2 linked regions of the Ovis aries genome follow. Each later gene encodes a partner of the first gene's protein in a complex. Links are inferred from orthologs where the notes say so. Each region holds a gene or a part of one and is shown on either strand. Other genes may lie near its edges. The genes, in order: ASF1B and histone H3.

Region 1 (4,409 bases):
GTCATGTCAGATTTTATGAAACAAAAAGGTCAGTTTGGCTGAAGTTGGTTTTGGCTATCCAATATCGGAAGCCACAGGGGATGACAAGCACCTCAGTGTGGCTAGTGCCACTGTGAAACAGAACATTCCACGTCGCTTAACTTTCATTAATTAATATTTCAATTTATCACCGACATGAGATTGAGTTCATGGGAAATTTTAACGTATGTTGGGAAACACTTGGGCATGTGAATCTCCATTTCAACTGTAAATTTTATGAAACCTCAACTATTTCCGGTGAAAACCTAGCGTCCGGATCACAGCTGTGGTGTAACGTGTAAAATACACAGGTTTTCAAACCGTTAGTACTAGGTAACAAAATAAAGATACCTCAGGTTCGTGTTTGTTTTTTTTTAATACCGATCACATGTTGAAATGATATTCTGGCTATACTACATTAAGTTTAATATATTTATATATATATATGTAACGTGGCTACTATAGAAAAGTTTAAGATTAGGTTTGTTGACGCCCGTGGAAGCGGACTAAAGGAATGCGGCGGCCCCTCGAGTCTTCCAGACAGGGGGCGACGGTGGTCCCGCCTACGCCTGGGAGTGGAAAGAAGTTTCTAGATGTATTATGTAGTCATAAGTCAGGCCAGTAAAATTTCATCACCCCGTTCAATGAGCAGGGAAATGAGGCCTCGGGTGGTGCGTGGCAGAGGCCGGATTCGAAATCCCATTCAGCGCCGTCCACCTGAAACCTCCCCAGGGGCTCTCAAGTAAGAACCTGATTCGAACCAGGCCCGACTACCGGGTCCCGGGCCCCAGAGCGCCGCGTTAGCGCGGCACCGTCTGCGCTCAAGGGTGAGTTAAACGTTCACAACGTTCACAACGGACGCCCAGCCTGCCGGGTCTGCGGGGCCAGGAGCCCCTTAGAGAAACTTCCGGCAACGCTCACCTGCTGACAGATGCCGATGCCGCAAACGCTGCTCCTTTCTCTTCACACTCTGCTCAACCGCGTCAGCGGCCGACTTCCGCTCCACTTCCACGAATCCCCGGCCGCGTCTTCTCTTCTCCCGCCCCCGCAGCCAACTCAGCCAATCACCTCTCAGGAAACCTGCTTTATCTCCGCCCCATTTCTGCCTGCCAATCACTGCAAGTCCAGCACGTCCCTTCCTTCCCGCTTAAGCGAGCGCTGTGCGCCACCACTCGGCGGTTGACTGCGCTGCCCCCAGCTGGAAGAGTCTCCCGGAAAGGCGGGGCTAATCGCGGACCACGCTGGTGCGGGGACCCTAGGGATTGGCCAAGAAGAGCCAGGCGCTCTGACCCCGCCCACCCCTCCCTGGACGTCCGAGTCGGAGACTCTGGGGATTGGTTCCCCGCGGACACCAAAGAAGCCTAGAGACGGTCCCGCCTCCCTCGCTCATCCCTGAGATGGAGCTCCACGGATTGGTCTCGGGAGTCTCGGCGCGCGCCGACCGGCGCTCCAGGATTGGCTGAGGAAGCACTCGCGCAGTCGTGGAGCGTTGACGGTGATTGGCCGTAGGGTGAGAGCCGGCTATTTGAAGGAGGCGCGCGGACTAGATACGCACTTCAGATCGCGGTCAGAGGAGGCGGGAGCGGGTTTGGGCAGAGCTTCGCCGCTGACCCGACAGGACCCAGGCGCGGGCTCGGCCCCAGCTCTGGCCTCAGCCGTGACCCGACGAGGCGATGGCTAAAGTGTCAGTATTGAACGTGGCGGTGCTGGAGAATCCGAGCCCTTTCCACAGCCCTTTCCGGTTCGAGATCAGCTTTGAGTGCAATGAGGCCCTGGCAGACGGTGAGATTGGGCCCTTGTGGAGACCCCACTCCCCTGAGCTAACCCCGACCTCCCTTTGCAGACAACCCCGAGGCCAACCCTGCCAAACACACTTCCTCTCCCCCTCCCCCTCCCCCAACCGCGATCTCCCTTGAACCAAAGCCCGCCCACCAGCCCCAACCCCGCCCCTTGGAGACTACCCACCGCACCCCACCCCCATGGTTACTCCTCTTTTCCCCTCATGGAGACCACTTCATCCTCCTCTTTCTCCTGGGCGTTCCTCCTGAGCATCTGTTTTCTGTGTAGAGACCTCAGCCTCAGTTCTTTAACCTGCAGAGACCCTCAGCCTTCCCATCTTCCTTGTAGCAAGAAACCCCCCATCTTCTGTTTCTGTATGGACAGACTACCATTCCAGCCACCCAATCCTCCCCCACCAATCCCCTCTCCCCTGTGGTGAGACACTTCCACCTCACTCTTTTCCTGTGGAGATGTAAGCTCTAGCCCCCTCCCGTGTCCCATATGAAAACCGCAGCCTCCTCCCTCATTTTCCCTGTGAAGATCCTCGCCCTCTGGCAAGACCTCACACATCCTTATCTCCCCATTTGTCTCCCCATAATATCCCCTACCTGCTGATACTTAACCCCACCCTACCCCCCTTCAGCTTGTTTCCTACCTCAAAACACATACCCTAGAAACTGGCTTCCCTCCTTAGTCTGGCCCCAACCCTCTACTTCCTCAAGAGAGGCATGACCTGGCTTCCTGCTCCAGTGTTTGAGGATGATCTGGTCTCCCCAGCTCCTCTTCCTTCCTCTTCCCTGACTGTGGGCTTCAATGAACACACTCAGATCTGAGGAGTGGCATGGCCAGGCACACGTTAGCTGGTTCCTGCTGTTGGCCTGCTGGATTCCTGCTGACCCACTGCAGCAAAGCTTGCAACACTTTTGATGGCCTGACCTCGACTTGCGCGGTGTGGGGTGGGTGTGCCAGGCCGAGCCATGGTGATGTTTGGCTTCAATCTGGGAGGTCACAGCCTTTTGTGCACCTTTTCCAAGGTGCTTTCACAGATGTGCTTATTCATCCCTGTGACAAAAGGCGGACATGGCTCTCATCTCACAGATGAGAAGGCGGGAGACAGAGTAAAAGACCTTTCAAGTAAAGGCCTATAAAAACCAGAAAGGCTAAGGTTGTTCAGCGAGTCTTGGCACCACTTTCAGGAGGAAGTACTTCCATTAGATGTCTTCTCTACTTGGTGGTTAGAAGAGAAGAGGCAGCCTCTAAGGAGGTAGAGATCTGGAAGGCAAGGGTGTGCTAAACTAGTCGTTCTCAGTGGTTGGTGGGTGGTTTGCCTACAAATGGGCTTCTCCAACTAACATGGGGTTGAAGAGTTTTGATGTGTGCTTGGGTGGGGCCATTGGATCACTCCCTGCTTTCTCTCGTTTTTAAATCAAGGAGTCATTCTACTTATGACTAACTATAGAATATGCCCAGTTAAATCCTTTCTGGAACAAGGCGGGGTGTAAATAAATAAATAAAGTGTAGAATGACCCTGTGGAATAAGATTTAATTTTAAAGCCAGGAGATGTAAGGAGCTAATAGTTCAAGGGATTCATAGTTCCCAGATGGCAGGAGATCGGGTTTCAATCAGCCTGTTTGAGCTCCTGGCATTTAAAAATGGTTGCATGGTCATTATCTAGTACTTTCATTCCTGCAAAGCTACTGCCCTGTTACTTTATTAATCTGTTTATAGAATCAGGAGAGTCTAAAGTCAACCTGCTGGTCATTGTTTTTTATTTGTGTTATATTTTGTTTAAGATTTATTTATTTTTGGCTGAGCTAGATCTTCGGTGCTTTGCTCAGGCTTTCTCTAGTTGGGGTGAGCAGTGACTACTCTTCGTTGTGGTGCATTGGACTTCTTGCTGCGGTGGCTTCTCTTGTTGAGGGGCACAGGCTCTAGGTGAGCAGGCTTCAGTAATTGGAGCGCTCGGGAGTAGTTGCTCCACAGCATGTAAGGTCTTCCCGGACCAGGGATCAAACCCATGTCCCCTGCTTTGGCAGGTGGATTCTTAACCACTGGACCACCAGGGAAATCCCTAAAGACAGTTCTTTCTTTCCCCAAGGTCATTATTTTTCTAATGGAAACAAAATGATTTTTCCAAGGTCACACAGCTGGTGTGTAGAATTATTCACAACTAGGTCTTGTTTCTGAGTTCTGAGTCCAGGGTTCTTTATCTTTGCTATAAACTGGAAAAGAATGCACCCACTATTTTAGAAGTGAGACATAAACAGGACAGAAGAGGGCAACAGGGTCTTATTATTAATTATACCTGAACAATAAAGCTTTTGCTCAGAAGAATTCCAGTTGGAAAGCCAACTCTGGCCTGGAAGTCTACACTCTCTGGTTGTACCTGTAGGGCTGTGCTTCACTCTGACCTGTCAACATGCTTTCTGCCTCTTCCCACAGAGCAGAAAGGATTTGTCTCCTGCCTCCCAAACAAATGGAGTAGGCCTGGCTTTAGAAGTCTCTTAGATTCTGGAGAAATTCTCAGTCAGCCTTATTACCTGGTAACTGAAGATCTGAACACCCAGCCCCAACTCTGAGCCATTTCTCAAGGGCTCTGAAATGTTTTAAC
Region 2 (2,497 bases), on another chromosome or scaffold:
GTTTTAGATCTTCTCCCTATGGCAGGCGATTGCTGCTGCCTAAGGAGACGTCTAATATGAATCAGCATTCTGTTATTAAAGGTGACTTCTAAGGCAACCATATATCACAGATACTGTCTACCTTGTGTTTAACGTTCAGGAAAAACTCTCAAAATCACTTTTAACTTCAGGAAAGTGATCATCATACCTTGGAGCTATGTTTTGAGCCTCTTGGGCCTAATTTTATTCTCAGGTTTGAGTTTTTATATGGGATGTTGTTCCAATCAAATAAGCATATTTTAAATATATTTGTTAGTTATTAAAATTTTAAGCATTGGTAACCTTACATAACTTTTGTTTTATTATATGTAATTTTCTGAGAAATTCTTCAAAGCACAGGAAACAAAAGGCAAAAGATCTTAAATTTCTGTATAAAGAATATAAAAGATTTGAAACTGTAAGCATTAGGAAACACTTTATTGAAAATATGCTAGCAACTCAGTAATCAACGAATAATTTATGTGCTTTGATCCTTGAACGTTAAATGACTAATAAGCAACTTGACTATTTAAAACTATTCACTATTGTAAGGGAGAAATTAATATTTCCGGTGTTATTTTCCCTTACTTAAAGCGTTTTGTCCATAGGACCTAATTATGCATTGATGGATTGAGGAGAAAACCGCACTCGGGGGATGGGGGGAGGCAGACGGCTCTGAGTTGGTAAGCATCAGCACACAATTTTGGTGTAGTTCCGAACCGGGTAAAGGTTAAGTTTAATTTCCGGTTCCTTCAACTACATATTGTTTTGTTGAACCTCAGTCGTAATGTAGCTCTCGCTTAGCTCAATATCAGGAGCTAAATAAATGTTAGTTATGGGAGAGGAGTTACAATAACTAGTAAGTGGAAATGCAGGCTGAAACCTAGGGCGTGCTTGTATTCTTAAAGAACTTGCTAAAATATAAATCCCAAGCGTGCAAAAATACTTCATAGATTGTTCTTACGAAAGTTAACAGCAATATAAAGAAAAGGGCTTAAAAAAAATGTGATAAGATTATAGAAAAGGACTGGAAAATGGAGGTTGTAAGTAAAGAAACTAGCATTACAATCTTCTGCCCAAATAGGATTGAATTCTAACCAATGAGATTACAATTTCGGAAATTGCTAGCTTTTCTGGTCCAATCAAGACTAGGCTACGTCTATAAATGAGACTGCCTAGGGGGTCGGTGAATAAAACCTGTGAGATACTATGGCGCGTACGAAGCAGACTGCCCGCAAGTCGACCGGTGGCAAGGCGCCGCGGAAGCAGCTGGCCACCAAGGCGGCTCGCAAGAGCGCGCCGGCCACGGGCGGCGTCAAGAAGCCGCATCGCTACCGGCCGGGCACCGTGGCCCTGCGGGAGATCCGGCGCTACCAGAAGTCGACCGAGCTGCTGATCCGCAAGCTGCCGTTCCAGCGGCTGGTGCGCGAGATCGCGCAGGACTTTAAGACCGATTTGCGCTTCCAGAGCTCGGCCGTGATGGCGCTGCAGGAGGCGAGCGAGGCCTACCTGGTGGGGCTGTTTGAAGACACGAACCTGTGCGCCATCCACGCCAAGCGCGTGACCATCATGCCCAAAGACATCCAGCTGGCTCGCCGCATCCGCGGGGAGCGGGCTTAAGGCGTACTTTTAAAAACAGACGATCTAAAGGCTCTTTTCAGAGCCACCCACGTTTTCTTAAAAAGCAGCTGTACCAGCTTTCACTTTAGTCGGTGAACTCTTAATGCACGAGTGTTACGGGCAAAGCGGGTAGGAGAGTTTAACACGCGTAGAGTGGTGAGGTTATGGAATTAAAGCTGACAGACACTAGAGGGAGCCCCAGAAGCAAGGTCTGGGTCGTTTTTAACTGCGCTTACAAGCTGGTTTTCTTTCTTAATGCAGAGCTCCAACCTAGCCTTATTTTTTTTTGGAGAACCTAACCATTGCTGAGAAAACTTTGCAAGAAGCTAAATTCTCTGCTATTCGTTTTTAGCGCTTTCCAAGCTGCTAGTACAAAACGTTAGCACAAATCTGAATACTGAAGAAGGCCGTCATTATGTGATAACTGTAATCGGTTTCAGCTCAATTCTACAGTTACTAGAATTAGGCCAGATGTTAGATAAAATCCTCGGTCCCCAAGTAGTTTCTCGGTACTTCAACTGTTAAGAATGGGGACAAGAATCCCGAGATACGTAGGATCCCATCTTCCTAACTGCGTGAGACAGAAGGCGCAAACTGTAAAAAAAAAAAAAAGGCGGGGGAGGGGATAGGCGGCTAAGGTATCGTTCCGAAAACCAGAACCAAACTTACCCAAAATAGTACAGAGGAGTAAAACAATGCAAAAATAAGAGAAAGTTAGCTTGTCTTTAGCACGCGCTTCAGATATCTACTATATACAAGTCAATGAGAAAAAGTGAAAATCATTTAACAAAAGACCCCAAACAGGTGAAACTATATTTACTTAATTTAATGTGAAACAGAACATTTTGATTGGTTAACA

The links.
Region 2: the proteins of ASF1B (region 1) and histone H3 are in contact, whole or in part, in a crystal structure (PDB 5BO0), measured with the Homo sapiens proteins. The link is inferred for Ovis aries from reciprocal best matches to the Homo sapiens genes ASF1B and H3C15. Residues at the interface, in NP_060624.1 of Homo sapiens: Val45, Ala48, Ser50, Glu51, Asp54, Thr87, Asp88, Val90, Val92, Thr93, Val94, Leu96, Arg108, Gly110, Tyr111, Tyr112, Asn114, Glu116, Leu140, Asn143, Arg145, Thr147, Phe149; in NP_001005464.1 of Homo sapiens: Asp107, Leu110, Cys111, His114, Ala115, Lys116, Lys123, Gln126, Leu127, Ala128, Arg130, Ile131, Arg132, Gly133, Glu134, Arg135.

The regions. Positions count from the first base shown.
Region 1 is NC_056058.1:9,899,754-9,904,162, forward strand, and holds the start of ASF1B (histone chaperone ASF1B), read left to right. Parts: upstream 1-1,571; 5' UTR 1,572-1,691; coding exon 1,692-1,800; intron 1,801-4,409. UniProt on the Homo sapiens protein: Histone chaperone that facilitates histone deposition and histone exchange and removal during nucleosome assembly and disassembly. Cooperates with chromatin assembly factor 1 (CAF-1) to promote replication-dependent chromatin assembly.
Region 2 is NC_056054.1:99,937,019-99,939,515, reverse strand, and holds histone H3, read left to right. Parts: upstream 1-1,210; 5' UTR 1,211-1,227; coding exon 1,228-1,638; 3' UTR 1,639-1,688; downstream 1,689-2,497. UniProt on the Homo sapiens protein: Core component of nucleosome. Nucleosomes wrap and compact DNA into chromatin, limiting DNA accessibility to the cellular machineries which require DNA as a template.